Linked DNA regions of Drosophila melanogaster. The protein of the gene in region 1 interacts with the protein of each later gene in a pairwise test. Each region holds a gene or a part of one and is shown in the gene's direction. Other genes may lie near its edges. The genes, in order: CG15083, dmGlut, Tsp74F and CG31600.

The links.
Region 2: the proteins of CG15083 (region 1) and dmGlut interact in a two-hybrid assay, tested with the Drosophila melanogaster proteins (one large-scale study listed by BioGRID).
Region 3: the proteins of CG15083 (region 1) and Tsp74F interact in a two-hybrid assay, tested with the Drosophila melanogaster proteins (one large-scale study listed by BioGRID).
Region 4: the proteins of CG15083 (region 1) and CG31600 interact in a two-hybrid assay, tested with the Drosophila melanogaster proteins (one large-scale study listed by BioGRID).

The regions. Positions count from the first base shown.
Region 1 is NT_033778.4:18,832,407-18,838,872, forward strand, and holds CG15083 (uncharacterized protein), read left to right. Parts: upstream 1-2,856; 5' UTR 2,857-2,985; coding exon 2,986-3,106; intron 3,107-3,873; coding exon 3,874-3,941; intron 3,942-4,009; coding exon 4,010-4,172; intron 4,173-4,248; coding exon 4,249-4,349; 3' UTR 4,350-4,436; downstream 4,437-6,466. Other genes in the region: CG15082 (uncharacterized protein), read left to right, coding at 1-275, 384-709; CG15098 (uncharacterized protein), read right to left, coding at 1,245-1,378, 1,559-1,712, 1,905-1,990, 2,070-2,256; CG15099 (uncharacterized protein), read right to left, coding at 4,941-5,162, 5,228-5,570, 5,627-5,822, 5,979-6,466.
Region 2 is NT_033779.5:12,024,732-12,035,171, forward strand, and holds dmGlut (dietary and metabolic glutamate transporter), read left to right. Parts: upstream 1-2,706; 5' UTR 2,707-3,050; coding exon 3,051-3,090; intron 3,091-7,161; coding exon 7,162-7,340; intron 7,341-7,399; coding exon 7,400-7,846; intron 7,847-7,914; coding exon 7,915-8,538; intron 8,539-8,599; coding exon 8,600-8,800; 3' UTR 8,801-9,391; downstream 9,392-10,440. Other genes in the region: CG18788 (uncharacterized protein), read left to right, coding at 9,494-9,536, 9,615-10,402.
Region 3 is NT_037436.4:17,890,159-17,899,155, reverse strand, and holds Tsp74F (tetraspanin 74F), read left to right. Parts: upstream 1-3,293; 5' UTR 3,294-3,390; intron 3,391-3,943; 5' UTR 3,944-4,125; intron 4,126-5,599; exon of another isoform or gene 5,600-5,704; intron 5,705-5,769; 5' UTR 5,770-5,778; coding exon 5,779-5,856; intron 5,857-5,933; coding exon 5,934-6,125; intron 6,126-6,343; coding exon 6,344-6,439; intron 6,440-6,502; coding exon 6,503-6,799; intron 6,800-6,873; coding exon 6,874-6,921; 3' UTR 6,922-7,336; downstream 7,337-8,997. Other genes in the region: CG7402 (uncharacterized protein), read right to left, coding at 7,802-8,623, 8,692-8,849, 8,925-8,997.
Region 4 is NT_033779.5:21,912,003-21,918,062, reverse strand, and holds CG31600 (uncharacterized protein), read left to right. Parts: upstream 1-2,704; 5' UTR 2,705-2,760; coding exon 2,761-2,805; intron 2,806-2,864; coding exon 2,865-3,047; intron 3,048-3,096; coding exon 3,097-3,261; intron 3,262-3,314; coding exon 3,315-3,623; 3' UTR 3,624-3,794; downstream 3,795-6,060. Other genes in the region: CG11634 (uncharacterized protein), read right to left, coding at 762-1,658.

The DNA.
Region 1 (6,466 bases):
AATGGATAACCAATTCGGAGATAGCTATCTCGACCCGTATCCTACGCTGTTCGGTCGCCAGTGGCACCTCCAGCATCGCAGCAAGCAGCTGCAGGTGCAGCACAAGTGGCAATCTCCGGTTCCTCCACTTGCGGAAGTCAAGGCTAAGAGGGATCCCGCCAACTGGCCACCCGACGACGAGGAGCCACCGCTTACGTACCCCTACGCCTACACCTTGCCCTGGAAACGAAAGGAGGTTCCGGACTCACTCCGATATATGCCCTCGATCAGTGCTGGTGAGTAATGGAGTATTGGATAGGATTTGGATTCTTTGATTTAATTTAAAGCGGATTTAATCCTTAACCAATGAACCCATTGCTAGTGACATTCGTTCTACATTCCAGGAGCCATGACCAATCTGGGCGGCTTTTTCAACCGCCTGGAAGCGAACCTGCGCTTCGCGGAGCAATCGCAACTGGGTGAGTCGGAGACGCGTATGCTGGAGGGTAAACACCCGCACCCACTGCACCTGCCGCCCGTGCCGCCCGACGCTCCGGAGGATTCCGAGCAGAAGCAGGAGCACGACCGGAAGACATCGAAGCTCCTGCAGGCCCTGCGCAGCTACAGGCCCTCCCAGAAGATCCGATCGCTGGTGTCGCGCAATCCGCAGGGATACCGCGGCTCCCAGTTCATTGATCCCAGCTACATGTGGCTGGGTCTGGGCAAATGACAGTGAGACCGCCGGAGCAGCAGAATGGCCCATCAATAGTTACCTAAGTAGCTGCAACGAATGCCGCCCCAAGATTCGATTTAATTTATGCCCTCTGTGTGTGTAGAAATATATGTTTGAAAGCCTATCACAGTGTGTTAAGTTTTAAGGAATGGTATGTATTAACATTTTCGAATTACAAACAAATAATAGTAGCATCTCCAAACATTACAACAAGAAGCGTAAACCAAGCCCCTAAATAATTTTCCATTTGATTATTTATATAAAAAATATATATTTTTTTTTTTGCAGCCAATCGAAAAATCTTGTATTGGCCATTTCGTTTGGATATACGTATAGACACAATCGCGTTAATGTAAATATATATGATGTACACACAGATTTTCATTCTCTGATGCATGAAATACAACGTAGTATATAATTTTGGTGCTACTAGCTAGAAAAATATTGGGTTTATCGGGGAAGCCCCATTGGAAACATTCGAAAAGGGATATGATGAAATAAGAGCTGGCCAAACGGGAAGCTACACTGGAGCTTAAATCTTGGTGTAGCTGGGATAGGAGTTGGTCTGCTGGGTCGGCTGTGGGATCAGCGGGCGCTGGATCTCACGGGATGCCTGGATCTGCTTGAAGAGCGAGTAGATGCCGTAGTAGAGATACCAGGTCAGCACTGAAAACGAGCGAATGGAGAAAAATAAGCATCGTGCCCAAGCGCAATTATAGAACGATCGCAGACCGTCGAGCGATAAGCGCAATGGGGATCCACAATTTCGCAACAACGGCCAGTGTGTATTGTGTATACCCATTTCCAGATAGAGCTTATGTATGTATGAAGTGGTGAGTCACTTACAGAGCAGGCCAACATCCACGAAAATGATTGGAAGAGCGCTCAGGAAAGATGTATTTCCGATGATCTGGGCCAGCATTGCAATATTGGTGATAATTCCAAAGACAAGCAGCACTCCATTGTTGATCAGCCAGGGCAGCAGGAGTAAATGGCGTTCCTGAAAGGCAAACGCTATTAGAACCATCTCTATCTCTAGTTAGTATGGTGTATGTACATATGTATTTGCAAAGAAACTTGCCGGTTTTTTTTACAGAATAGTGGGCTTTTAAAAAGGTCTAACTCTAGATATGTACTATAGTAGACACATATATACGCGATTGTACAGATTGCATATTGATACTAGACTTACCTTAACGGTACCTGCAACCAACATGGCCGAAGCCAGAAGATTAATCACCTTGAGCGCCAGGTAAACACTGAAAACGATGATTAGCACTGCAATAACCGCAAGAACAATGAAATACAATAAAAAATATACGATTGGTTGTGGGTGCACTCGATGGTTAGCCCTTACCACTGCGAATCTCGGTGGCCGTCTTGTTAGAATCTTCCGATCCCTTGGCGATCTGCTGCGCAATTTCATCGACGAATCCGAGGGCCAAGGACAAGAGGATCGTGGCCAAGAAGGATAGAATCACGCCCAGCCATCCAATGACCACACCATAGGTGTTCAGGCGCATACAGAAGACCCTGGACAGCATTCTGGATTCACTTGATTTCGTGCTAATGCGAAGATAAAGACAATTTTACTTCAGTTCGCCGGCGCAGCAAAATTGCAATTGCTTGATAAGTCGCAATTGGCTGACAATTAAAAGCTTTTGGGTACAGCGGCGTTGCCAGACTGGTTCAAGCAGTTGGTGTCGAAACTGTGACTTGTTCACCAGCTTTTAATGTGACTTTTTAACGCTAATTGTTTAAAATTCTTTTAATAACATTTTTATATTTTAAATATTTTTATGCATTTATTATTTGGCATGATAGTTAAAAAATATTTATTTATGTATTCATTAACACTGCACAGCAGCGGCTTACTTTCATAATATTTTTCAAGGTGCTAATAGTAGCTACATTACATATATAATACAGCATTAAATCTCTCTATTATTTTAAAGACAATTCCCCATTTTATTCATTTCACTCTTAAATGACGAAACATATGCAAACAAATTCATATAGTAAATGAGTGCACATATATTTTTTAAGAACATATCAGACGTAGTTTTTCCACGCTCGAAAAAAAAGTATTTTCGTGTTGCATAGTTTACGCAACCGTTTCTTCTGAGCGGCATCGGCATTTGCGCCACACTTATTATTTGATTCTTGCCCAGTGCGGTTGTGTTTCCGTGCGCTAGGTGTTCCCAAACCGGTTTAAGTGCCATACTAGCCATATTTGTATTTGGAAAATTCGCTGTAAACCACAGAGTTTCAAAATGAAAATCGATCTGACGGTGGAAAATGGCCCGTGCAATACCGATTTGCGGAGCTGGTGCCTGGGAATCGCGATCTATTGGCTATTGAGCATGACTTTCAACGTTATATTCGCTCCAAACGGTAGGAGAAATGCGAGAGGCGTGGCATTTGTTTATTTTCAGAAGCTGATTGCCCAGACTGACGCTATTTCCATAGAGAGACAATACATTCATGATGTTCACATGCGAAATAAACGAATGAGCTAATCCATTCGACACAAACGCGTTCCAATTCACAACCATTTTGGATACAACACCTCACCATCGATGACGACATCGCCGACAAATTCGAGCTGACAATTCATTTTAGGTGGCCCGAAATGCCATTTTCTCACAGGCTTGAATTTTCCAGCACAAAAAAGAAAATTAAATAATTTCCTTGGGCTGTGCATGGCGCAGAATTAAACTTAAAAGATTATTGGGTTTTAACAGTTGAACGCCATATGTCATAAAAACACTTAAAGCCCTGCATTTGTCCATGTCTCAAAGAAGTTCTATAAACCTTATTCTAAGCTGTTTTAAAAAGTTTGTCATATTTCATGTATGAAATGTGTTTAAAATATAAAAGAAGAATTTATGTTTTAGTTCTTTATGTATATGTACACATGTACATGAAGTGCATCAGTGCATCAATATGTACTCATTATATACGAAGATACATTTAGCAGTCGTGTTCTCAAATTTCAGACGGGAAGAAAGATAAGAGCACAGCAACGTTTTGCTTGGAATACATTGAGTCACTTATAAGCCCAAGTTTATGTTTACTTTCCACTAATTGTAACGGCTTTTTTTATGAATGAAATATGTACGTTCAATAATTTCTATTTAAATTCACTTGAATCCTTGCAGTTCTTACCTTTATTGGATTTGCCATCGTAGTAGTCGCCAATATTTGCTTATTGATAGGAACCCTGAAGGTAAATAAAATACAACCCATTCCGTTTTATTGAGTCAACGAAACCCAATCTACCTTTCCGAATTGCAGGAAAAGCCAATTCTGGTGTTCGTCTGGCTGATCTTCGCTGCCATTGAAGCCATCTCCTTTCCGTTTGCCGTCTTCGGGGTTATCTTCCACTACGGAGGATATCGCGAGGCTACCGGAATGAACAACGTTTTCGGTGCCCTGCTCGTTTACATCATCACATTTCGTAAGTATCGGCTATGAACATCAAATTGAGTTAACAAAAATGTACAGATCATACATATTCTCCGCTACACTTTCAGTATTGATCCTCTTCAGCGCACGAATTGTGTACTCCTTCTACCTCCAGCTGAAAAACAGCGAAGCCAGCAAACAAACACCGCGCGCCATGAATGTGGTTTAGTCCTTATCATTCTACACTACATAAATTGTCGGGGAAGAGCCCACCGTTCGTTCATCTCAGTGTTTGCAATAAAATGCTTTGTTTTTTATTTGATTGCAGTTTGTCGTTAACGCACATCTCTTACTCACATCGACTTGGGATCAACTATCAACAGTTAAATACATTGGTTACATACATATACATACAGGGTGCTATTGGCTATTGGGCTACCGCGTTCTTAAACATTCAACATTTAAAACGATCGATCACACTACGGACAATTATATACTCTCGACACAGTTCTCTATCTATATAGCTAGCTATCATACTCGGCATCGTCTTCTGCTCCAATCTGCTTACTTAGACATAAAATGGAAAGTTGGTCATCTTATTGTTGCTGCTGTTATTGATGTTTTGCGACTGCGTAAAGCTCGTCTCGGCATTTTGGGTAGTTAGCTTAGCCTGCACGGCCGCCAGTATTCGCACAGCCTGGCCAGTACTGCCCGACTCCATGGCAGACTCCATACCTAGGTTCAGGTTCAGCTTGAGCTCGAAGTGTGACCCACTCGCTTGGATCTGCGACTGCGTCTGCCGTTGGGCAACAGCCGGTTTTCATCTCGGCGTGGTTATGCTGGGCAGCTTTTCCAGAAAATCATTGGCCAATACCTCTTCGATCTCCTTCAAGCAATTGGCCACATCGTTCTCCGTATCGGCAAAGTTACGCGGCTGGGGGCAACTGATGCCCAGCGTGGTGAAAAAAGCGTACAGCTCCTGCAGCGACTGCAGTTGCTGGAAGTGCAACATCAGGTGTCTATTGCTGGGGCGTTGCAGTATCTGGAACAAAGCCAAAGGGACTAGTTAGCCAGATGACGCATACGATGAGAGTGGGAATTACTCACCGGTGACTGACTGGTGTACTTCATGTCCATTAGCCTGGCCACACGTCTGACATGCGGAACATACAGCGCACTGGGCAAGGTAGCCAGGTTCTCTAGACTTCCGTTGGGCAGGCACACCTCCTCCTCGTGAACATCGAACTCGGTGCCCACAAAGGCCCATCGATACATCTGGAAATGTGGCAGTTTGGTTGCGGGCAGCACACATCCCAATTCAAGCAGCTTGCAGGCCTCCAATTGCACAGATCGCCAGTGCTGCATCGGTGTTTGGGAATTGTAACCATTGCTAGCTCCAGAAGCAGCGGACCAGGACACGTCAATCCCAGAAGGCAGGCGCAGTTGTTGGCTGCCAATAATGATACTATTAGTTTGACTACTTTTTTTCATTCGTGTTCGACTTACTTCCTCTCTTCGCTCTCCGATTTGAGCTCTTGTTCCATTTGTAGAAACACCTGTACCATTTCCGCTATGATTATGGGCCACAGCGAGGTGACGTGGTCGGGTGACATGCGAAGAAGCAGCACACGGAAGCACAGGAAAACGGCCGCTTGCACGGAAGGACCCATGGGAACCAGCCGCAGACTGTTGGCCAATTGTTCTAAGGGAATTGAAAATGTTAGTGCTGATGTTAGTTAATTCCCCAAAGAGATGGTACTAAGCTATAAATAGTAATTATATTTTTACATACTAAAAGGGTAAAGTTTGTTATTAATTGCTTAGCATCTAACAAAGGAGGAACATTTCGTTAACTTACCCTGGATGTCTGGCATGTACTTGTTGTGCTGGTCAAACTCGCTGCAATAGATAACAAAGGCGAGTCGCTTGAGCAACATGGCCCGCTGCTCATACTCCTGATCCCGGGAGGTGAATATGTTCAGACTGCCCGCCTGCGAGAGGGAGACGCGGGTCATCAGCTCTCGGAACGTGGTGTTGTCGTAGGTCATCAGGCTATCCATGATCATGCGCCAGAAGGGCAGGCACGAGAGATGCATCTGGAAGAAGGCGTTGTCCAGCAGTAGATCCAGCATATCCTTTCGCCAAGCCTTCCTGGTGTACTGGTAGCCACTTAAGCTAGCCAACAGGGCAGAGCAGGCGTAGAAAAAGGGAACATTCCGAGCAGTGTGGTTCTTCAAATACGGAGTAATATTGTACAGCAGCGGCGTCACTATGTTCACCACCTTGTCCTTCTCCTGGGAACCATAGGCCACGTCCAGTAGATTTGAGAGTATTGCTGCCAGAACA
Region 2 (10,440 bases), on another chromosome or scaffold:
ATTGAAGTTTGTCACTTTTCATTTGGGCCCAAGACGCGGAATATTTCCAGTCCAAGTCGCTGTCAGCAGATTGGAATTCTCTGCCAACTCCGGTTATCTGCGCCCAGATGTCACCTGGATGATCTCGTGTCTGGTCTGGACAAAGTGTGCCATCGATAAGGCCGACAAAGTTTAACTGATAAACATGGTCTACATACATACATACTTACATACTCTTTGGGCTTCAAATGGAGAGCACTCGGCAAAGGATTATATTTCCGGCGATAGTGATTGAGATAATGCATGTGCCAAATCTTAACGGACGCACAATAATCCCCGCCATAAGTACGATTCATTGAGACACCAATTGAGCACTTTCCAAGTAAAACCGAAACAGATCGCATAACATTCCACGAATAATACGTTTAAGTATCCCCTTGAAATGTATATACATATATCGGCAGATATGAATATAAGCAAAGTACAGAATGTATATTAATAACCCAGCTGAGCTGCATTGAACCGCATCTGTAACTGGTTAACTCGGCAGTCAATTTTTGAGTATGCAGATACAGATGTATCCACATTTAGTAGTAGTATAGCAACGTTTCGATTCTTAATTCGATCTGAAATCGAAACTGAGGCTGTAATGAATACTGAATGAACGTACAATAGAAGTGTCAGGGGCGATTTGAGGTGGTTCACCCTATAGCGACTATAAACGATAGCGATTCCCCATTCTCGCGACCCCCAGCCATCCACCGCCCATCTCCCACCGCCCACCACCCTGTTTTTCAGTTAATTGCATTGCATAAAGTCGCAACCCGCCTCTAACCGGTAAACGCTGCTGACTAACTAACTAACCAACTAACACAGCCGATACTACAACTAAACTAATTCTGATGATGGAGCCGCAACAAGTTGTCGCTCTCCGTCGAATACCCTACAACGCAGACTGTCGGGCAGCTTGGCTGCTGCAGTGCGTCTTGAAGATGGAACTTGTTGCTATCGCCACTCGCGCGGACATCAATGTCCCATTTGATACATGATGTATAGTATATATGGCTCGGTCGGCTGGTTGGATGGGTGGTGAACAAAGAAATGTGTTGGTGCTCTGACATACTTATGGGATTTAAAGTACATATATATATAGGCATATAGTTTTATATCCAGACGAGATGTGTATAAAAAAATGTAAATGTTCTTGAAATTGTATTTTTAAAAAAGTGTGCGCAAACTTAGAATAGTTTATTGCCGCACGCTTTATTGTGGTCCTATTGTTTTGACAAACCTTAATCGCGGTTGTATCTTGTTATAAGTATTATTTATCAATAGGATAAAGTTAGTAATACTAACTTGTTACAGTTGCAACAAAAATATATCTATATTAAGATAACAGATCCTAACTTGCATTATTTTTATATATAAAGCATATATATGTAATTTGTACCAAAGGTAGGGTATACTTGGAGGGAAAATTCTTGGTAAGCAGCCAGTTGACCATGATTTCATCGGAGAAATGGGCTGTAGACGCACAATTCGTTGGGTGCAGCTACCTTTCTGTCTGGGCCATTCTGTTGGCCAAAGTTTCGGTTTCGTGCATTCCGGTTCTGCGAGTTCTAAACCGAAGCTTGGCATCTGTATACATATACGTAGCAAGGTAGCAAGGTGGGTTTTTTTTTCGTTTTTTTCATTTAGCGATCCAATCGTTTATAGAGCGACATAAAGTGAGCGCGTGCATGCGAGGAAAACCGCTGAGGTATTCGGCGCACAATCGATTGCCCGCTGATACCAACTGAAATCGAAATCGGGCTTCAAATGGCCAAATGAACCAAAGTTCCATTCCGCGCGGCCAATAGTTAATAGTGGTGCGCACTAATAGTTGTTGCATTTGGTCAATTGATCTACTACACGCATGCGGTGGCCCGATGGCTGATTGAATGCGATTGGATCGCCGATCGACCCGGCCAAGATAGCGACCGCGTTTATGAGGTGCTACAATGCGTGCACAGAGAGAAAAGCAGTCAACTTACCAACACTTGAATATTTTCAAAAAGCAAATTCAATCATAGTTAAGGGTTCTTAGAGGTGTGGGTACTGTGGTTTGGAAGATAGCTTTTTTTTAACACAGATTAGATTAATAATTGAAGTTTAATTATAGCAAGTAGTTTTAGCGTAAATGGTGGTGAGCAAAATTGATAGGAAATAAGCAGATTCAAATATTAATCCATTCAGTTAATTGTATTTTGAGCTTAATTGTATTTGGAGCATGGTTGGAATAGTGCACTATAGAGATTCAGTTGTATTTTTGTTAAGTTACCGTTGTATAACAAAATAATAGTTAATTAAATAAATAAAATTTAATTAAAAATTTGGTATATGTCTAACACGTATTGTGAGAGTGGTTAATATTTCGTTGTACCAAGTACCATTGAGCAATAAACAAACTAAATATTGTATTGCTGCACGTATTTTCTCGCAGTGCTCAATTGTGGCAGCATGTACAGCAAGTGTTACGAGTCAACTCCCCTTGTCAATATAGCGATACACGATCGTTGGCCGGCATCCAATAAAAACAACAACAATAACGAAAAGCGAAAAATGAAAATAAAATCAAATAATATGAAAAAAAAAACTCCCTCTGCCGCAGAGACGCCGACTGCGCAGCAGCAGCAGCAGAGCGGCGCTTATCTGCTCTCATATAAATATAAACTAAAGTCGGCGGGAATAATTTCTCATTTGTAATTTGGCTGGCGGCGTGCGCGGTTCGGTTTGGAATTCGAGTTCGAATTCGGTTAGCACTTCGAATCCGATTTGGAGACAAGTTCGAGATCACTGGCCTAACAGTAATCATCCACATTCTCCTTCTCCGCTGCATCTGCGCTTTCCGAATAGAATATTATTGCAAAACGAAAACAGAGACTGCTGTGTAGCCGAAATAGCGGTAAAAAGCGTAGAGTCGTGTGCGCGTTAGTTCATATTAAGGATCCGCCGTTGTCCTTCAAACCCGTGTAACCGTGGCGAAGGAACTGACCAGCTTGTTGACGCAGCCGCCGCCAATTAGTACCGAGATGACGCAACAGCCACAATGGGGCATAAGCCTATCGAGGTGTAAGTGTGCCACATCCTTCGATCCATGGGATATCACAAACACAACCATCAACCACTATCACCACCAACATCATCATATCGTCATCATCATCATCATGAAATGGCCATAAGGAAGTGCTGCGTGCGCCGGTGTATTCTGAATGCGGATTGTGCGGATCGTTGAACCTGCGATCGTTCGGGGGGCATTTTCGAGTGGTAGTGCTCGCTTAAAGTTAACCGACATTGACCGACAGCAATATAAAACAAAAAAATAAAATAAAAAGGAAGAAGAAGAAGAAGAAACGTATATAAAATCCCATATGTATTGTGCATAAATGAAAACAATGACAAAACGCCTCTGCCACTTCCGATTTGTTTCGAATTGTGTGCATTTTGTTTGTGTTTCGCTGCTTGGTGGTCTCTTCAAATTGAAATTCCCGGCATGCGTTCACATAATTGGTAAATATTTTGCATACGATTTGCATGTGAATTGCTGCTTAACTGGCCAGCGATAAAGAACAGGGTATCATATGTTCGATTCTAAAACACCACGATCGAAGGGCTAACGGTTATTACGGACTTTGTCAACCAATTATGGGACCTGCCCAAATATATACCTATACCTATACCGATTTCCTCGCCCCATCTCGCTCTGTTCTTTTTTGGGCAAGGTCAATGCAATAAAGAATTCTTTCGACCGATTGGGCAACCATTTCAGCTGTAAGAGTTTTACGAAAATAAAATATTAAATATACTTGGAATGCGAGTGATAAAAATCACGTAAGCCTATTATGATTTTCGTATCATTTTAGACTAAACTAAACCCCAACCAGAGTAATTATAAAAACTAATTAGCTTTTGAGCTGTACTAGTTCTAGCTAACTAGCTCTGTTATATAGCTTAGTATTCTGCTTGTTTTTCCAATGAATTATATGTTGTGCTTTAAATTTCAACCAACAAAGGCTTTTTGCCACAAGTTCTAGCCCAATGAACTAACAAAATTTACAATTTGGCCATAAATCACCCTATTGGACATTAGTTTTGAGCTACGGCAATCAGCACGACTAATCGCCTCGTTTATGGCCCCCGTCCCAGTTACTCAAAGTCTCATTATCATATGGAAGGGTCTGGCCTGGGTGTACTATCTGGTGTATATGTTCTTATGCGGCAATCGGACCTCGCTGACAGCGACCCTCTGCCCCCCAGGCCCATTGACATAATTTTCGCAAGACCGCGGAAATGCAAGCGAAAGAAATGAGGTTTATATTCATTCGGGGCTATCTCTTAGACATTCACGATTGCCGGACAAAGAGACGCAGGCCCAGTAATGTCAACGGATGGAATTGTTTTCGTTTTCTCATTAACGCAACGGATACGAACGACAATCGTTATTACTTAAAAAACCAAAAGTCATCTTCATCATAAGAAATTAACCATTAAGTAAGATTTAAGGAAGTAGAAATTTGAAATTAACTAAGATTTAGGGGAATTAGTTTTATGAGATGTTTTTTTTAAATTGTTATCAACATATTTAATATTGAAAATACCCACACTTAGCTTTATTTTAGGTATATTCTATATATAGTATCTGTGCAAATCGATTTCAACAAAAACTCCCATAATTGAAACTAGTTCAATTGCATTGTCTGGCTAATTAGAAAGTATTTCAATTGAAATAGTAATGATGTATAGGTCGCAGATAATTTATTCGTGGGATTGTGAAACCTATTTAAATAGGTAAAAGGTACTTTAAATGTAATCAGTTTCTCAATAAGTACTCAATAGAAAGGGCCAACTTTACAAGTTCGTTGCATTTGCAAGAAAAGAATTTTACGGAAAAGGTGTGACCGATTAAATCTAGTTAAAAGTGAGTCTCACCCCCGCCGCCTCCCACTCAGCTTTCATTTTCCACTCATATGCGCGAGATAAGGTCGCGTTAGCAAGCTCTGATTAAATCTTGAATAGCTTATCGCGGGTGGAGGTCCTTAGATGGAGTACGGTCATATATTAACGCCACCGATTGGATTGGATGGTCTGAAATTATTGGCATACTTGGCGGGCGGCGATATGATTAGCACCCATTTACATATACGGCGGCTTATCAACTTATCACTTGGCAATCATATTTTTTATTTCTTTATTTTATTTTTTTATTTGACACTCGTGGAGTGAGCGCGTATAAATGTTCGTGTCGAATTTGGTTAAGTAACCTGTCAAATATTGGCACATTGTTAATTTTGCCAGCTACGGTGGCTTAATGCAATTTGCGGCCAGCAAAAGATATATTGATGTTAATTTATAGGTAAAATAAACTTGTCAGCTGGTGACGTCGATGGGCTTTTTTTGCGAAACAGTTTCTCATAAACTAGGGGAGTTTCGAATGCCATTAAGAAGGCAAACACATGATTGTTTAACTTTTACTGGCGGCTGGCTTAAAAAAAAAACAAAACAAAACATATAAATATCTGACGTAGGTGGAGTCGTCGTGGTTAGGTGTCAACAAAAACAACAGAAGTCGTCGACTGCGGCGGGGGTGATCTAATAATATTGTCATGAATTGGATTCTGATTGTGTGTTTACCCAAGAAGCCAGGCTACTATTTGTTTTTTTACTCGCAATCCAGAGATTCAGATTGAAGTGATCTGCGTGCCGTTCTTGTTAGATCGTTTATTTCAATACGTTTGAAATGAGATTGGTCAATGTTAACTAAGCGTGCCAAAGAACATGATCAATTCAACCTTCGACATTCATAGGCGGCCATCTATTTTCGAGGCCCTATGAATTTATGCCCAAAATTACTTAATTGGCGCCGCCATTGGTTTATGATCATTGTTCTCGGTTAGCGATTTCGCATACTTCACATTGCACTCCAAATGTTTATCGCAGATCTAGCACACTCCGCCTTATCGGGCCGTAATTCCGCTTAACAATTTGATTGCGATACGATGGTCGTATAAACTACGTCCGTTGATCGCTGCCTGGTGATTGGTGATTGATATTGGGACACGAGTGCATAGCGCCGCTAATCTTTCGACCATGCTGCTCAACCCAAACTTAAGCACGAGCCATAAACCTCACGAGACAGGAAGTTCGTGAAAGAGCGGGTCTACAAAACTGGACAAATTCCTCAAATACCTTTGAATAACTAAATAAAAAATAAAATAACTTATAATGGCAGTCCATAAATAAGAGCATATAAATTATCTACTCTTGCGATCCCCCGCATATCAGCACATGATTTATTAAATATTTAATCAAACTAAGCACTTTATTGCCGCAAATTTATTTATTGAGTTTGATTGGAACAAGATTATTTGGTTGTTTTATGGCAGATCACTAGAAGATACTTTTGCAATCTGAGTTATGTAGGTTATATACCCTTGCTTACCTTTAAGATATTACATTTGATCATCTTTAAATCCATTCTAATGATTCATGGCTAGAGAAAGGGAGAAAATAGGGCTACAAATCGGAACAGGCCTAATATATTCTTTAATCTTTAAATGATCATATCGCCATGTCGCAGTTGTCTACGCATAATTTCTTTATCATTAAAATTATAAACTGGTTTCAAACTAAACGATCTGTCGTGAGCATTAAAAATTATATGTTGTTGTCATCATGATTATTTTAAGCGTTCATTAAATATCTGCGTGGCATATAATTTGTTTAAGCATTAAAACTTAAAATGTTCTGAAAGTGTTCTAGACAATCTCTATTACCTAGTTTGCAGCGTTTTTTTATATTATACTTAATTTACTACTCTTTTTTCAATCATTCGTATTGAAAAATGACTAAAATCGGCTTCAACAGTTCAGCTAATTGATATAGTGCCACAGCAATCAAGTGCAATTTGAAGTTTATCAGCGCAAATTGATTTGTACCCAATTGAGTCACCCGTCAAACTATTTATTCGCACGCTAACCGAATTAAATAAGTAAATTGCTTAAACAATATATATGTGAGACGCAAATCCGCTTGGCTCGTAAAATGTTTGACGCAGTGTTTGGTCAAATGTTGCCCAGCAGGTTAATTAATGTACACCAAGACACCCACTGACGTCAATTCCGATCGCTATCTTCTCGTCCATAGATTTCGTGATACCCCAGCGAGTGATCCTGGCCATCATGGGCTTCTTGGCCATCCTGAATGCCTACACGATGCGCGTCTGTCTATCACAGGCCATCACGGTGCTGGTGGTCAAGAAGAACTCAACGGATGACGATTCTGAGGCGATCTGCGAACCCGATGACATCGACGAGGGAACCAGTGTAAGTAGAGTCTAAGAGTAATATCAGAAGATAATACTTTAAACACAAAATCTTTCCAGGTTGGTGGCGATTTCGAATGGTCCGAGGAGCTGCAAGGTTTGATCCTGTCCTCATTCTACATCGGTTACATTGTCACCCACATTCCCGGCGGTCTGCTGGCCGAGAAGTTCGGTGGCAAATGGACCCTGGGCCTTGGCATTCTGTCCACCGCCGTGTTCACCATGCTAACGCCTTTGGCCATTAACAAGGGTGACTCCGACTGGCTGATTGTGACCCGAGTTCTGATGGGTCTGGGCGAGGGAACCACCTTCCCCGCTTTGAGTGTCCTCCTAGCTGCTTGGGTTCCGGCCAACGAACGTGGAAAGCTCGGTGCTCTGGTGCTGGGTGGCGGTCAAGTGGGTACTATCATGGGCAACCTGTTGTCTGGCGTGTTTATAGACGCCTATGGTTGGGAGTTTGTCTTCTACTTCTTCGGGGGTCTGGGTGTTGTCTGGTTTGCCATCTTTGTAAGTATAGGCTGAGCACTTAGCACATAGTCAAGACTCGTTATAATCCAAACTATTCTTGCTCGTAGATGTTCCTCTGCTACAGCGATCCCACGTCGCATCCCTTCATCAAGCCCAGCGAGCGCGAGTATCTGGTCAAGGAGATTGGAACCATTAGCCGCAACGAGGACCTGCCCCCCACTCCCTGGAAGGCCATCCTCACCAACCTGCCCATGTTTGCCCTGGTGGCCGCCCAGATTGGTCACGATTGGGGCTTCTACATCATGGTGACGGATCTGCCGAAGTACATGGCCGACGTTCTTCAGTTCTCGATCAAGGCCAACGGTCTTTACTCCTCGCTGCCCTACGTCATGATGTGGATCGTTTCCGTGGGCAGTGGCTTTGTGGCCGATTGGATGATCCGCCGTGGCGTGTTGAGCACCACAAACACCCGAAAGGTGATGACTGGTCTGGCTGCCTTCGGTCCGGCCATCTTCATGGTGGGCGCCTCCTACGCCGGCTGCGATCGTGTCCTCGTCGTGGTGCTCTTCACCATCTGCATGGGTCTGATGGGCGCCTACTATGCGGGCATGAAGCTGAGTCCCCTGGACATGAGTCCGAACTATGCCGGAACGCTCATGGCCATCACAAACGGAATTGGAGCAATCACCGGAGTGATCACGCCGTACCTGGTGGGCGTGATGACACCAAATGTGAGTATCATAAAGGTGATGTTTTGAAACTTTAGCTAATCTGGTTGTTCTCCTTTTACAGGCCTCGCTGCTGGAGTGGCGTCTTGTGTTCTGGGTGGCCTTTGGCGTGCTCTGCTTCACTGCCGTGATCTACTGCATTTGGGCATCCGGAGAGGTGCAGCCGTTCAATAACGCACCCATCCAGCCGCGCTCCGTCGACTTTGAGGCACAGGAGCGCAAGGTGGGTGGTGAAAAGACAAGTGGTCTGGAGCAGAGCTCGTAAGGTGGATCGCCAAAAAAAAGTGCCATACATATATGTATACATTGTAATCTAGTTAAAGTGCTGTCTACGCGGATTCTGGAATCCGTAATCTGGGATCCGAGTGGTTCCCAAAAGCAGTGTCATGCTGTATACGCAGTGGCTGTTGTTCAAATTGCTAGTTTTATAGTATTCCCGATCTGGCCGATCCCTGGCATCAGCGCCAACTAATTAATTTAAGCGAATTTACTTACACTCCCGAACGTCCGCAGTGCTACCATGTTTATCCCTTTTGTTAGCTAGGATAATCCTTAGCCTAATCCTAATCCTAAACTATACCCCTATGCCGCGCACGCAACGTACTCTCTTAATTATTATTTAGTATTTAAACAAACTGCGATTTCGCATTAAGGATTTCGTGTACCAGAGCTCGTATTGCCGTATTGTAAATCAAATGATGAAATAATTTGTACATTTTAAATTGTTGATCAATGTGTAAAGTAAAGCGTGTTTTTAGCTGTTCTGTTAAGACATTACTGTTTTTATGATGTTAGTCAAATAAAGTGTATAAAGCTAATTAAAACTATAAATCTAAAATCCAGTTTGTAAAAATGTATTCATGATATACTCATATAATAGGTATTAAATAGTCTAAAGGGGCATCTTCTAGTAGGCGTTCTGCGATTTGTCCAACTTCTATAAAACAAAGTTACCAAAATGCTGCCCGCTGTTGAGCAAAAGTTGAGCGATATATTTATATGTATGTATATGTATGCATAATTCAGCGATTTTACGTGGCATCCACTACAACCAGATGGTTACCCGTTCCATTCCACAGATCTGGAGGTGCGACAGCGCTGGGTTCTCTGCTGCTTCACATTTTTGGCGATCATTAATGCCTACACAATGCGTTTGTGCTTGGACTGTACGCTTAACCGAATCATATTGGAATGTGGTGGTCATAGGGTGGACAACGTTCCTCAAGTACTAAATCCAAAGGCACTGCCCAACTGGCGTATTGAACTGGCCATGGCACTGAATCACACGGAATATCAACTGAGAAGCCGCCTAAAAGCGGGAAAGGAGCAACCAGATCTCAACCAGATAAGCGCCAAAGGAACGCGGGATAGAGAACCTGCCGGTGAGAAACGTCCTGGTCAAGAGGACTCTCAAGAACGTTTGAGCTGCTCCGAGCAGTGGCCTCGCCAAACCCAATCCCTTGTAGTAATGGCCTTCTATGCCGGCTATGTGCTCAGTCATGTTCCGGGCGGACGGCTGGCGGAGAGGTATGGTGGAAAGTGGGTGCTCAGTGCGGCCATACTCACGTCAGCGGTGCTGACCCTGCTAACTCCCACTGCAGTGCGACAGGGCGGTCTGTATGCCCTTGTCGCTGTCCGTCTATTGGTCGGAATTTGTGAGGGCCCTTGCTTTCCGGCCGTGTGTGCACTCCTGGCCCAGTGGGTTCCGGAACAAGAGCGCGGAATGCTGGCCAGCTGCGTACTCAGTGGCGGTGAGATCGGCATCACGATGGTCCAGTTGGTCAGCGGGTTGCTTATTGCGGAGCAGGATTGGCCCGTGTTCTTCTATCTGGTTGGTGGAGGAGCCGTGGCCTGGTTCTTGGGATTTGTAAGTCTATACGAAGTCTAAAGTCATGATAATCATAG
Region 3 (8,997 bases), on another chromosome or scaffold:
TGCTAAAATCTATTTTAAACTGAATAGAAACAATGTCGCCGTCTACAATCAAGCAGAATAGGCTAAGTTTGTTTAAGTGCCTCCAAAATATTGATTTTTGTACTTAAAGCATACACAGCCCACCAGTCAGGCAACCGAAGAACTTCAATCGATCAATGAAGTGCATTGATTTAGTGCAATTTGTACCAAAATGAACAATTCAAACACACACAATTAGTCCATAAGGTTGATATGTATGGAGATGTATAAACTGTACATAAACATTTCAATGAATTTGTTGCATTTATTCTAATGTGGATTTTAAGCGGGTCGGATTCGAACTTCTAGCACATTTATGAAGCCTACCTTTAGGGTTTCTCAACAAAAGCATTATCGAATGTATTTCATTTTCGAACAAAGTGCTGCATACAAAGTTAGCTAAGGCTGGGTACCGGAAACCCTATACCGTGCATTGGATGGTTCAATTCCTTCTTAGAAAAGAATTTAGAACAGGAACGATGTTTTACAACATTTTTCAAAATTTAAAGGTGCCGCCACAAAATATTTAAAAACAAATTAAATATGTAGATAATTTTAAAAGTGTCATGTAGCCATAATAAATATTGAACATAAAGGAATAGGATTAAAATATAATATGCATTTATAGTTACTACATGTTCTCTAAAACTATTAATTTGTGTGCGGATAGGAAGTTAACAGAGTAATAACAAAAGGAAAATCGCATTCCGTGATGTTCTATCTGAAGAGTCTCATGTAAATATTCAGAAATTAATTAAATTGAAAAACGAAAACATTCTCAGAACTTTCGTCAAACCGTTTTCTGGACAAGACACATAATATACATACGTTGAAATGATTCATATTCATATCATTTATGTACTTAGGATTCATAAGATTGCCATATTGGTTGGAAATGCCTGACCTGATCGGTAGACATTATATTCAGCATTTGGATGACACATCGCCACGTACAATCACTGGAGCTGACACCGACCAATTAGCGGGCACATGACTAAACTCAGATGTATATTTTGGCTATTTGTTTGCCGAATATCTGTGTGTTTTCGTGGGAGGAGGTGGAACATGCTCTAAGCGGTGGCCAAAAGGGAATACAATTGTTCCAACTGATTAGCCATTTAATGACTTTGGCCCGAGGCCACAGAATGCACTTGGAGTTTGTTTGGACTTGTGTAGAGCTTGGGAAAAACTACATGACTTGAGTTGGTCAAGATCTGGGATTCAGTTGCGTTTTGCGGTTGTCCACCAAAATAAATGCCAGCCCTCAAGTTCGAATTTCGGAAGGTCACTTTGCGTGAAAATGTTGTTTATTTATATATAGAATTTTGTGTAAAAAAGTTCCTTTATACTCCTCTAAGCTAAAGTAAATTCTATATAATTAACTATTGATAACCTTTCAACTTTCGCAATGCATTATTCACGAGCACTACACATTCCCATAGATTCATTAATTTATTAATGCAATATGCAAATTTTTGATTGATTGAGATAGCTTTTATACGAAGATCAGTAAGTGGCGAAGGCGTAAGTAGAGTTATAGCAGCTATGATAAGTCATGTGAGAATCAAAAATGTTGCATTTGTTGTTTTTTCAATGTTTCACTTTAGTTTGCATCTGATAATGTATGATGCATGTTGCTGTGTTAACTCGGTTGTATGCGCAGTTCGGTTAACATTTTAATTATATCTTCCACTACCAGTAGTCATTTGCTTGCCTTCCCAATTTTTGACTCATTCCAATCAGTTAAAGTGCCACAATTTAACGCTTCTGACGCTTGTCACCTTCGCCGAGCTCAACGAGGCTTTCAACTCGCTCACACTAATCGGATCTCAGTAAGTATAGGTTCATAGGCGAAATTGACTGGCTTAAAATTAAGAATTCCCCATAATATTAATGATTCTTGGCCACTTGAGCAAGAATAACTGAGCACTAGTCGCAAACTTCGATTTCTGAGCAATATTTTATCATGAGGCGCCTGTGGGACGAGTGTGTGGAAATGGATTTTATGGCATCTATAAAACGCAAAAGGTTCCCACAGCGAGTTTATAAGATGCAAAATCAACAGGCAGAGTAATTGTTTTTCTTTTTTTTATGATTTATTTTTATTTTCGCCATGCAACTAACACATTGGTCGGTGATTACGGGGACATGGCGGGTGGTTGTTGTTAACACGGCCATAAAAGTGCTAAACAAGCCAACAATTTGAGCGCTTTTCAACCGTGCTGTGGAGTGTAAGTAGGGAGGGTGAGCTATTCGTCTATCGGCAGCCAACTTTCTGACCTTAGCTTGGAAACTGCTTAAAAAATTACTCAACTCAGCCAAAACTATTTGTTCGACTAACAAGAAAATTAAGCTGTTAATTGCCAAAGGTTGTCCTTCGGCACAGCAATTGAGTTCGACCAGCAAAAGTAACATGAAACACGGATAATAAGCATATTTTCCTTGTGCTCTCTTGGAACACTAAGCCCTTGAAATCAAGAAAGAAAGATAGCCTCGCCAATGTTTGATTTCTTTTCTAATATTTTCAATTAAATTTCGATATTTATACATACATGATACAGAAGACAAATTCACATACTACGAGCAATAAAAAGAAGATTTTTAGAAAAGTTCCAAGCTTTAAAACTATGATTCTAGAATGCGTAAGAAAGGAACGGACTGACAAACTTGGCTTTATCAAGTTGTCTGATCAACACTCGTATATTGAATATAAATATGGTTGCAAATAGATGCAAATGATCCAACTGAAGAAAGAAAACAATCATTACAAATAATCCTTGTTCAAAAAGTATTTAAACTTAAACTGTTATAACAAAACGGTAACCAATTCGGATAGATTTGCCTCCAAAATCAATTATGCGGACATTGCCATGTGCAGACCGAGAACTAAAACAAATATCAAATTTCGTTTGCTTATCAATATTTATATTTTGCAATTGCCCGAAATGAAACAAAGGTGCTGGCTGTGGACGACGGATCATATTTTGTTTGCTCAACGCATTTTCACATGCCGACTCCGCAAAGGGAAGTGTGGGTAAAAGAAGCCGAAAAATAGATGAATAAATAAGAGAGAAGCACGAAAACATTCAGAGAAGTATTTGCGGTTTGTAAGCGAGTAGAGACTCCCATCTCTCTCGCACCTGCAGTGCTAAGCCTTCGAAAACAGGGGCTCAAGTCGAAGTTGTTGTAATGTCGAGAGACCGAGACCAGAAAAAGCCCAACAACGAAGCTCTTTGTGAGCGAAACTAATAAAAAACCGATCGCCCCGACTGTTCCCACAACCAGTTCCAAGCGAGCTCTCGGGCGGTAGAGTCGTCCCTGTCCCACATATAAAACCATAGTATCATAGCTCCCCGGATCCACTCAATCCCTGTAAGGCGAGACTTAGGTCCATCAAGTGAATCGTATAGTTTTATCCCCACGAAATATCCCGACAGTACAGTGATAACTCCGCTAAGGATAATGCTGCCTTGGCAAGCGTGACGTAACTTGAAAAGCAAATGTTAAAAGCAAGGCGGCAAAAAAAAAGTTGTTTGCCATGGGAGAACTGCAATTGACAATAACAGCAACAGCAATCGAATAAAAACTCAATAACAATTATCAACTGCGAGTGACGCTTAAAACAAATGCAAGAAACCTGTATTAAAAAAGTTTCATAAAAATTCGAGAGCAAATATTAACGAATATTGCATAAATTGCTATATGCGTATGTAAACTTTGCGATCTCTTTTGATCTGAATGAAGTGATCTGAATGAAGAATGAACCAAAAATTTAAACAAGTTAATAAAATCGACCGAAAAAATGAATGAATGCGTCTTCATCAAAAAGTTGTTTATAAATAAAAGTGAAATTAAAAACTCTTCTACTTCTTACCACAAAAATGTTAATTGAAAGGGTTAAAATAATTTCCTTCTTTTTTTATAGCCACTCCCAAAGTTTCTGTGCATTCAAGTGCAACTAAAAATAGTAGCCGTTTCTTTTGTTTTGCTTTGTGTTTTTGCAAAACAACAAATTGAAGGCAATTTACATACACAAAGCTGAGAAAGAAAACCGCCAAAATTGGTTACCTAACGAAAACTTCGTTTGTGCTACGGGACGGCAAACTTGTAAGTGAATTTGCTTATTAGATAATATTTCATTTGTTTTAATTAATCATAAATTTCATACAGAGGTCCTTCAAATGCGACCACTTTCCTATTTTCACTGCTATATTTTCAAGCTTCGAGTATAAACAAGGAGTACATATTTCATATTTATAGCCTCGACCGATTCTGCTCACTAACTTTTAAGCTAACATCACCTACAAATAAAGATTACATACGAGTTTTAAACATAAATGACCTAGTAAAGCTATTATTCCTATGATTACAGATAGATAACAGGGTATGAAAGGAGCATAAAAGAGTGAGCTCAGAGTTTAGTAGATAGTACTTAAAAAGTCTGATTTTCTAAGTTTTTCATGAGTGACAGGACTTGGAATCCGAGCTTTAAGTGATCTATTACCATGTGTAGCACGTACAGCTGAACAATTACCATAAACTTAATTGGTCTCAGCTTACAAGCGGCAGATATAGTGATTCGCCCCGCCGCCAACGCCCCGTCATCATTAATGGCGACTTTCGGATGACTTACTGTCATCTCAGGCACGATTCGGATTCGCTTAACATGATAACGTCGAATGAAATATAGTGAATATTCAGATAGTGTGAGAACATTTTTTTAATAGCCCCGCCAATTACCTGGCGAACTCGACTGCGGCTTAACATATTTGAATTTGGAGAATAATGCTCGAAATGAGATGTCGTTTACCAGCTAGTGGGGTGAAGGGGTACCCGACTGCTCAGCCTGCAATTACTTTTAATTAGCATTTAGAACATCGCACTGCGCCAAGATGATTCAGAGCTGGGACGGCACTCGTAGTTAAACCACTACAATTAGCTGACAAATTTTCGGGCAGGCTATTACTTTGATTTATTTGTTTTGATCGCTCCAACTTCAACGGGGGGAATTCGTCTCGGAATCGCCGCGCAGCGAACCCTTCAAGTGGGCCTAATGCGATGTAAGTAACCAAAAAAAAAAAAAAAAACGCGAGTCTTTAGAGCCGTAACTGACAAAATCCACAAGACGTTGGCAGCCACCGCCGATAATGAACGCTTGTCTAGGCACATAGCGTTGGCAGCTTCGCTGCTCAGTCGCAGTTCCATAAAGTGGGTCATGGTTAAGTGTACTTCGGTCGCTTCGCGGTTCGGACCCGGCTTAGAAAGAGCGAAACGTTCGGCCGAAACCACAGCTGCGCATGCGCATGCGCATGCGCACCACTCGCCAAGCCGAACACCATTGATAGGCAGCCCATATGTTGGAGTGAATCTTACGCGAAAGAAACTCGTTAAAAAGTACATTCTTGAGATTACATCACATTGCAATAGAGAGTAGGCCAAAAATAGCTAATTTGAAATCGGGATGATGAGTTATGATTAACTTGGTTATCGCTAAGGACCTGTTGAAATTGAATGATCTCTAAGAACTTTAACTTAATTAAAGCATAGTGTGAAATTATTTTTATCTGTCTTTGGATTATAGAGTTGTATCGCCATCAAGAACCTCTGCATCTCATCCTACCCCAAATTCCCTGCATAATTCTCCTCGCATCAATATCCTCTGGGGGCTCTTCACCTGTAGACAAAAGTAAACAATGTGAAATCTTTTTATCCCATTGAATTGGTTAATTGAAATGTATTATCCTTTCAAAGGAAGACGATATGGGCTTCAGTTCGCGAATGGACTGCTGCGGGCAGTTCGTCAAGTACAGTCTTTTCATAGCCAACTTTGTGATATTCGTGAGTATCCAGGAGTCGCTTGAATTAAAAAACAATTTAAGAGAAATAAATAATACCAAAATATATGTATTTTCCAGGTGGGTGGAGCGATTGTGTTTTGTCTCACCCTGTGGACTCTGGTGGATCGGAGTTTCGTCAATGAGTTGCTCGGTACAAATCTTTTCTCGGGTGCTGTCTACGTCCTGCTGGTTACATCGATTATCATTTGTCTGGTGTCCTTTTTGGGTTGTGTTGGTGCCGGAAAAGAAGTCAAATGCCTCCTCCTAACAGTAAGTAAACAACAAACAATAAAAACAAAAATTTCATTTTATTAAATAATTAACTTTGTCCTTTTTGGAGTAATCATATCTGGATTTGCATATTTACAAAGATACCATCTAAAGAAATGATCTATTTGATTTAATCTTCTAAATGTTGTCAGTCTCTTCTTTACTATTATGCAAACACCATTTAGCTAAAAAATTAACCACTCGTTTTCCCTTTGCAGTATTTCATAATAGTGGCCCTAGTTTTCGTGACCATGCTAATTGGCGGTGTCTTGGGTTACGTGTTCCGCGAACGAGTTCAGCAGACCATGCGGCAGGTGAGGCAAATCCATCGATAACAACACGTGGGTGGCACATTAACCCTTACCAATATCCCATAGGAAATGCGTTCCACGATGGCACTATACGGAAGCAGGAGGGAGATCACCCAGGCCTGGGATTTGACCCAGGAGCGACTACAGTGCTGCGGAGTGGATACGTGGCACGACTGGAATAGGTACGGACCAGTGCCTGAGTCCTGTTGCCAGGAGCTTTTCGGTGGACAGCGTAAGGAGTGCACAATCTTCCCGACCATTACGAATCTGTACAACCAGGGATGCCTCTATGTGACGACCAACTTCATCAGGGATCACGCGGCGGTTATTGGAGGTACATCCATAGCGGTGGCCATACTGATGGTAAGTGAACGCCTTTCTTCGGTAGCAAAATTATTATATAATATATAATTAATTGGAATTTGGTTTATTTTTAGATCTTTGGCATGATATTCTCCTGTCTACTATTCAATATGATCGAATAGCGCCAACGAGGAGGGGAATCCCATGGTCACGCAGGAAAATCAGATACCAAGGTCCACAGTCCAGAAGAAACACATTTTTAAACATAATTCGCTGGAGTTAAATTAAGAGTATTATCTGAGTGTATGCTAATGTTAGATCTGCACAGATCAACTGTCCGCTTGTATTATGTATTGTATTGTATGTATATACGTGTTTAGATACGCATAACTAGTGAGTATTGAACTTAGTAGGGATTCTATTGTTATTATCTGTTGCATAAATTTGTATTATTTGTGTGAAGTTTTGTAAATTTCCTCTTAAGCCACCGTTATCAACAACCCATTACAATTGCTAGTTTTAAGTGAGCTTTTCAATACTTAATAGAGAATTTAGATGTCTGTCCATTGTTGTTTTCAATAAAAATTAGTTAAAACCAAATACTTCGGAAATGTTTATATATATTAATATTTTTTATTTTTAATCCAATTATCATTAAACGATATGTTGTGATATGAGTATAAAAAAAAAACGAAAAAGGATAAATATTTAAAATGATCTGGTCCATGAAATATGTCCATGTTACGTAAAAATTTGTATTTAAAAAACGGTTTAAAGTATTAAACTGTTTTTGATCGAAGCTTTAATCTACATGCAATATTGTTGCATATTTTTAGGTTTTTTTTGTCTTAAGTCACATTTTTGAAGCGGGAAAATAGGGAAAGTATGGATCACGCTGTGACCTGAAGGTGTTTACAAAGTGAATTATCATCAGATAATATAACAACTTTTATGTTATTTAACTGAAAATAAGTTCGCACTCAAGCGACTTTAAAGATTTGAATAAAAAAGTATTTTCTTTAATTAACTTTTATTAAAAATTATTCTACTAAGAACTTACAGCTACAACAGATTTCTGTATACTAAGCCTATAATACTACCCATCGCAAGCCATAAATTGATGGAGAAGGTGCCGGAACCTGATTGCGTATCCGTATTATTCCACCACTCCCAGTTTCCGTTGTGGAAAGTCGGGTTAGCTCTTGAATCAGAATGCGGAACTCGGGCGCTGGGAATCGCAGTCTTCCGAATTTGTTCCAACTCATCGGCAAGTTGCTGCAGTTGGAGTGGATACATTTGGGCTAGGTTGTATCGCTCGCAGGGATCTTTGGCCAGATCGAAAAAGCAGGGAGCCTTCAGTGGTTCACATTTGAAATGAGATTCCAGAGGATTTTGTCCTTCAATAGGGGGACACGTTTCGGTGGCTTCACTGCGCATCTGTCGGATGCGATCCTTAGTTAATCCCCGATTTCCTAGTAGGCTTTGAACATCCGATGCCAAGACATGTTGTTCGTAGCTCTCACCCAGGGGATCGTCTTCGTTAGTTTCCAGTTCACCCAACCACTGATCGTATCGTCCTTTAAAGCTGCTCCCGTTTACATACTTAAGAGTATCCCTCATGTACGATGAGTAACCGAAAACCTCATCGAGTACATGAATCATTGTTCTTGGTTTCGGTTCCTCGTTGCCACTCAGCATAGGCCACAAATTAATCCCATCCAACGGAAGATCCTGCGGCAAGGATACGCCGGCAGCTCCTGCCAGTGTGGGCAGCCAGTCTACGGCATGTATCGCCTGGTTGGACACATATCCTCGCTCCTTAAGCAGCGGACTCCACAGTGCACCAGCCGATCGAATGCCACCCTCCCACGGCGATTCCTTTTGCTGAATGTAAAATAAGGTGAATAAATATTCTAGTTTCATTGCTTTTATGATATTCCTGGATTACTTACTCCTCGATAGGGATAGTTAGAACCCGCATTGGAATGGATGCCTATCGTGGGTGCTCCGTTGTCTGAGTAGAGCAGAATAATGCTGTTATTCAGCATGCCATTATCCTTCAAAGCACCAATTGTCTGAGCCACGCTTTTGTCCAGACTGGAAATCATACCTGTGGTAAAAAGTAGTAACAAGATTACAAATATTAATTTGATTTACAATATATGTACGCGTTGTGTTAACTCGCCAGCGTAAGTGCGTCGCTTGGGATCCCTGATGTGGGGAAATTTGGCCACTTCCTCCTCTGGAGCCTGCATCGG
Region 4 (6,060 bases), on another chromosome or scaffold:
ATAATTCAAACCGCATTTTATAATGAATTTCCCAACGCCCTGGGAAGGATGAGCTGCCCAGAGGAGGGTGTGACTGCACCTGATAAGCCTTTCCCCCTTATTGGGCCAGATACATGCGGGAGATTTATGGGGAATAAATTCCAAGGCAGAAAAACACACAAAACTGATAATTACACTGACGAGCGGGCTTTATTTTTGGATTCAGACCTTAAGTGCCCAAAAGCGACGACTTGGCGTCACTCATACGCTCATCATACTCCCATAAAGAAAATGATTTTATGGGGCAGATGCTTGTGGTGACTCCGGAATGCTGTGCGATCGTAAATTTATTCGGTCATGCCCAGTATCAGATTGCCAAGTTGAATATAAGTATCGGCTGCAGAGCTAGAAAACATTCTTACAGTGTTCGGCACGAATAAACAAAACAATATTTAAGCGAAAAGATAACAGACCAACATTTTACCATTTCTCAATGTCCCAATAAAATTTAAAAAAATCGAATACACAGTTAGTCACGCTGTGTCGAATTAATTCGCAACCTATATACAAAAAACCTGCGTTCATTAAGACGCCCAAAAAGTCAATATCCGGAAGAAAAGAAATATTGTTATTACCGCTGACAGCTGCACTTACATTGTATATTGGCACGCATCATGAACGTTAATAACCATAAAAACACCCAAAATAACTTTAAATTTTGAATCTGCCAAGCACTTTTGCGAAATCGGATGAAAGGGGAAGTCGTGGAAGTCATTCCAATACTAAGCTTCCAAAAAGAAGATAGCTGCGTGCTCCTCCTTGTGATCCTCGATGTCTGGCAATATTTGTCCGCCAATGGGAAATACAATGGCTTTGAAATTGTCATAGATACGTAGGGTTTCGAAGTGAAAGCCGTTTTCAACTACCACGTAATTTTTCTGGGCCTTGTGTGGCTTTAAAATTGGCGACAAGTCAACGTTGGCGCAGTTTAGAAAAAAATAGGACGAGCTGAGGGCCGCCACGAGATCGTAGCATCCAGTTAGCGTTTCGTTCCAAATGGAGACGGATGCGAAGGCCAACGATTCGCACTGACTTATGGCAATGGCCTCCTGGTTATTGCGGAATGTGTGAAATGTTACTACTCCAGTTGGGTAACTTCCCAGCTTATCGTGCGTACAGTCACACACAAAAATGGGTGAAGCCATTGGTGGGGCAACCTCCGAAATGCAGGCCCTTATTATGTTAAAGTTGGAGGTGTGGCATTTCTCCAGTGCTGCCAGATAGCTAGGATGTTCGGCCACAAACTTACTAAGAGGATGTAGCTTAGACAGGATTCGCTCGACGATCTCCCCGCGAATTTTCTCTTCAACCAGAACCATGGCCACCGCATTCGAGGCAAAGGGATTATGAACCGACTCAATAATAAAGTGCAGTGCACTGTTGATGTCGCCTTCTTCAAATATAATCATCAATTGGGGAGATGAAGTGACATCGTGTCCTATATGCCGGTCAGCTTCCGATGTCATTTCGATGACACTGTGATCAGGTGATCTTCCCTCCGGGTTATGGACCATATCGTAGGTGACGACATGATCCAGTGACAAGGACTCATTGTGCTCCGACTGGGACGGATGCTCGGAATCAACTGAACGCGGAAAGTATTTAGTTGTATCGAACATGGCTTATCAAAAACTTCACTGTAATGTAAAAAATTTGTTTTTATATATTTTGAGATTTATTTGAATGGCAAACGCGATTGGATATGATTAAATGAAACATTTCTGACACATTTTCATATTTCAATTATTTTGTTATTTTTTTTAATCTACCAGGAATTCTAATATCACTTGAGTACTAAGTACTAAACCGCTCAATGCGGCGCACTCTGAGTCCTAACCATCGGCATTTATCAAAAGCAATATAGTTTTACTGGCCCCTTCCATCCATTGCCACATCGAGGGAATTCAAAAGAGCACCCATAACCCACGGTGCCCCTTATTTGTTAATCGCTTAATTTATGATCAAATGCGACAGTAAAATTAAAATATCACAAACAGATACAAAACACCAAAGTATTTAGCCATCGTCCAAATAGAATGCCAGAAATGCATTGGATTTGTTGAAATTAGCATTAATAATTATAAATATTTTGCCAAAATATTACAATTTTTATTGTGCATTTCGAACTACACCCTTTTTGACTTACAACAAAGAGCATACGATTATGAAATAACAGAACAGAGCCAACAGCGACAATTAAAATATTTAAAGCCACAGAAATATTTTTTCGCATGGCCCATTGGCGAACTGAAAACCCACAACAAAAAGTGCGTAGTAAATTTCCTAACGAGTTGAGGGACATCCATGTGGACATCAAGTGCAGCAACAATACAGCCATATACGGAATGATAATTTTGCTAACGATGACCATTTACATATATCAAGAGTAATTATAATAAAATGCCGAAAATAAAATTAAAATTAATATAGAAAGCCGATTATAAAATCATGTTTATACCTACAAACAGTTATCGCACACACTCTCATTCGTTGTAGCAAAAACAACTGTCAAAAATAGCAAATCCCATAAATCAACAATGAAATTTTGCCAGAAAAAAGGAATTGAAACACAAATAGAAAAACCTGCGTGATTTCGTATACATACATAATTGGGAAAACAAAAATTTGAATTTATGTGGTAGGCCATTATTTCCAGCTTCGAATATTTTGTCAATTTGCGTAGAATAAAATTGAGCTACGTATATTAAAATAATTCTCAAAATGGTAGAGGGCATGATAAAAAAGCTAACTGCTATTTTATTTGGGGTAAGTATTTAATCAGCAGCCCGTCTTCAAGTTTTTACTGACAACTTTTCTACACTTAGCTTGTATTGGCTGTGTTATTTCGAGTAATTATACCCTTTACTCTGCGACTTAAAAGCGCTGAAATAACCATTAATGTGCTTAACTGTTTTAATTTTCTAACAAGTACCGTTTCCATTACCATTTGCCTGAATTTGGTCAGCCTATACTTAGCCAATTTGCGTGATGATTGGCTTGTTCTCGGGGTAAGGACTTTACCAAAAAAAAAACGTGAGGTTGATAATTGTAAATTAGCTTATACCGCTGCAGATACTCGTCCTTCATTGGACTTACTTCACAATTTCAAAACAACTAGAAGCCATGAACAGGAGCTATAGTACATTCATGGATAGCTTAAACCTTAAATGGCTGGCATACTCCAATTTTAACGAGACAGATTGGCCTTCGATTGAAAATGCGGTATGTGTTATGCCTTTGCTCATTTGCCCTTTCAAGGGTTTTGCTTTTCACAGGTTTTATGCTGTGGACTGGAGGGTCCCCGTTCTTATATGGATTATCTACAAGGGGTTCCAACCCACTGCTACCATCCCGACCTTATCACCCAAGGTTGCAGTGACTTTGTTAAAAACATTTTTATGCCGATACAACATATAAGTCATTTGCAGCTCAGATTGGCTATTTTTGTGGAACTGGTAATTTTACTTATTCTTGCTGCAACGCTTTTGAAGAAATGTATTTCTTTGATCGGCGAAAGGAAACATAAAAGAGTTATTACACACGGGCTTGCGGTACTAATAGATTTAGTTAAAAACACATTTTGAAACATTAGCCTTATTAACCCTAACCAAATACTACTACTCTATACACTACCATGTAACCATTCTTGAGTACTAAATGCAGTTTCTTGTAATGTTTGTATTGTTTTAATCTATGCCACTGTATTGCATACAATATGTAGATGACAAATCGAAATGGAACAAAGAAATAAATTGAAATAAGCTGTCTTTTATTGCCGATGACAATTTGAATAAAATTAATATACAGTTTATCCTATTTTTAATTAATAAATGTCAAACATTTTGCGAGTATTGAGTATGAGTATTTAATTGTCTGATTTGTAATTTGGTTTTTTCCTGTTGTCTTTTTGTCATGGAAAATTGGTTTTGTTATAATTCGTTCGATGAGTACGAAAAAAGTTTCAAATGGCGAATGGAGTGGTAATAGGGTAGCGGAAACACACTTTGGTCTTGTGCAGCGGAAACGGAAGTGAGTATTAGAAGGCAAAATAAACTTTCGGAATGGAAAAACAATTCACATTAAGCAAAACGTACACATTTTTGACAATTCCATACCGTTATTATTGGTCTGAAAATGTACCGGTTTGCTTTTCCAAATTATAATTTATTGTCTTTTTTGGTTTAAAAATGTATATAGATAATATCAGGAAATCAATTGTGGAAAATGCATGAACGAAGGCGTGACCTAAGGTAGATGTATGAACAGTGCTTTCTATTAATTTAAAACAAATTGAATTTTCTTTATTATTTAATACCCCGCTAAAGAGATATTTTAAAAACAAGAGATAATGCTCGGATATACCGAGTTCCCCGACTGTGAGATACTAGTTACTCAGCTAGTGTGTATACGAACGCGAAAGTGCATCATTTTTCTGGGATATCGATAGATATTGGGAAATAAAATGACCGATTCGGAAATCGAAATATTGTTCAATATTAATAAGTGACTAATAAAAACGTGAAAAAATATAAACACATTTTTCAAAAGTTTGGGCGTGGCATTTTTATGCCGTTTCTGGGCGCTAGAGTGGGCGTGGCAACATGGGTCAACGATCTTGCGCTGCGTCTTTGTTTCTACAATCTTTATGCTGAATCTCGAACTTCTCGTTTTAATAGTTCCTGAGATCTCGACATTTATACGGACTGACGGACATGGCCAAATCGACTCGGCTATTGATCTTGATTAAAAATATATGTAGCTGTGTTCAGAAAAATAGCAGTGCGAAGGAAACTGAGTAATACAAAGGTATTCTTCCAAGTCCCTTTTCGGACTCGACTCTTTTTTACACGTACACTTATTACGCACTACACGGCTAGTTTTTCATGTTATCCTTTTTTTATTTACATTTTACATTACATTGAGCAAAATCACAAGTTTTAGACTGTTCATAAGAATAGCAGTGTCTGGTTTTGACCAACGTAAAGTCCCGAAATTATAAATATTTTCTAAAAAAAAGTGAGTTTGGTTAAGTTAATTCGCGTATTTAAAGGGGCAATAATTTAAAAAAAATTATTTTAGTGGGTAGAGGACAGCACTGCTCCCAGGAGAAAATAATGTTAATTTTTAAGCTAAGAAAGGAAGGAAAAACATACAAGGACATTCAAAAAACCCCTGAATATTCTGCCAAAATGGTATCCAATGCCATTAAATATGAATGGAAGCCGAAAACCGTGGTACCAAAGTCTATCCTTTTGCATCCCCTAGGGAGATAAAGTCTGAGCTGAGTGACGTTACTATTCGGTGATAACTACCTAATCGAAATTTAATTGCGAGTAGTCCCAGAAAGGTTCCCGTACTTAGCCCAAGGCATATTAAGGCAATGTGAAACTTCGCTAAAACCTACCTAAACTGGCCAGTCTCCAAATGGTGTAATATCCTTTAGACTGATAGGTCAATAATAGTGATATTTGGTGGAACTGGTTCACTACAGTATATCTGACGACCTCCAAACACCGAGTACCACCCAAAACACCCAGTGAAGAGTTTCAATCACGGTGAACCTAAAATCCTGGTATGGGCTTGTTTTTTTTACAATGGTATGAGTCCATAACATATGATTTATGGTATTACAGACCAAAACGCAGATGTAAATATACTTATTGATGTCTTACTGTCATATTCTGAATATAATATGCCCTTAAAATGGACATTCCAACAGGATAATGATCCGAAACGCAGAAGCAAATCGGTTAAGAATAGGTTCACCCAAAATAGAATAGATGCAATGCCGTGGGCAGCACAATCTTCCGATTTAAGCCCTATTGAAAATCTGTGGGGGGACATTAAACAATGCCGCGTGGGTGTAAGGCTGTGCTGGCTAACAAAGGCTATCCAACCAAGTATTAGGCCCTAATTAACGTATTCAAAAGGAAAACTATGTTAGTTCTAGGTCAATTTGAATTTTGTTACGGTTTTTTCATAGCACTGCTATTTCATTGAACACCAGAATTTCTGCCTTTT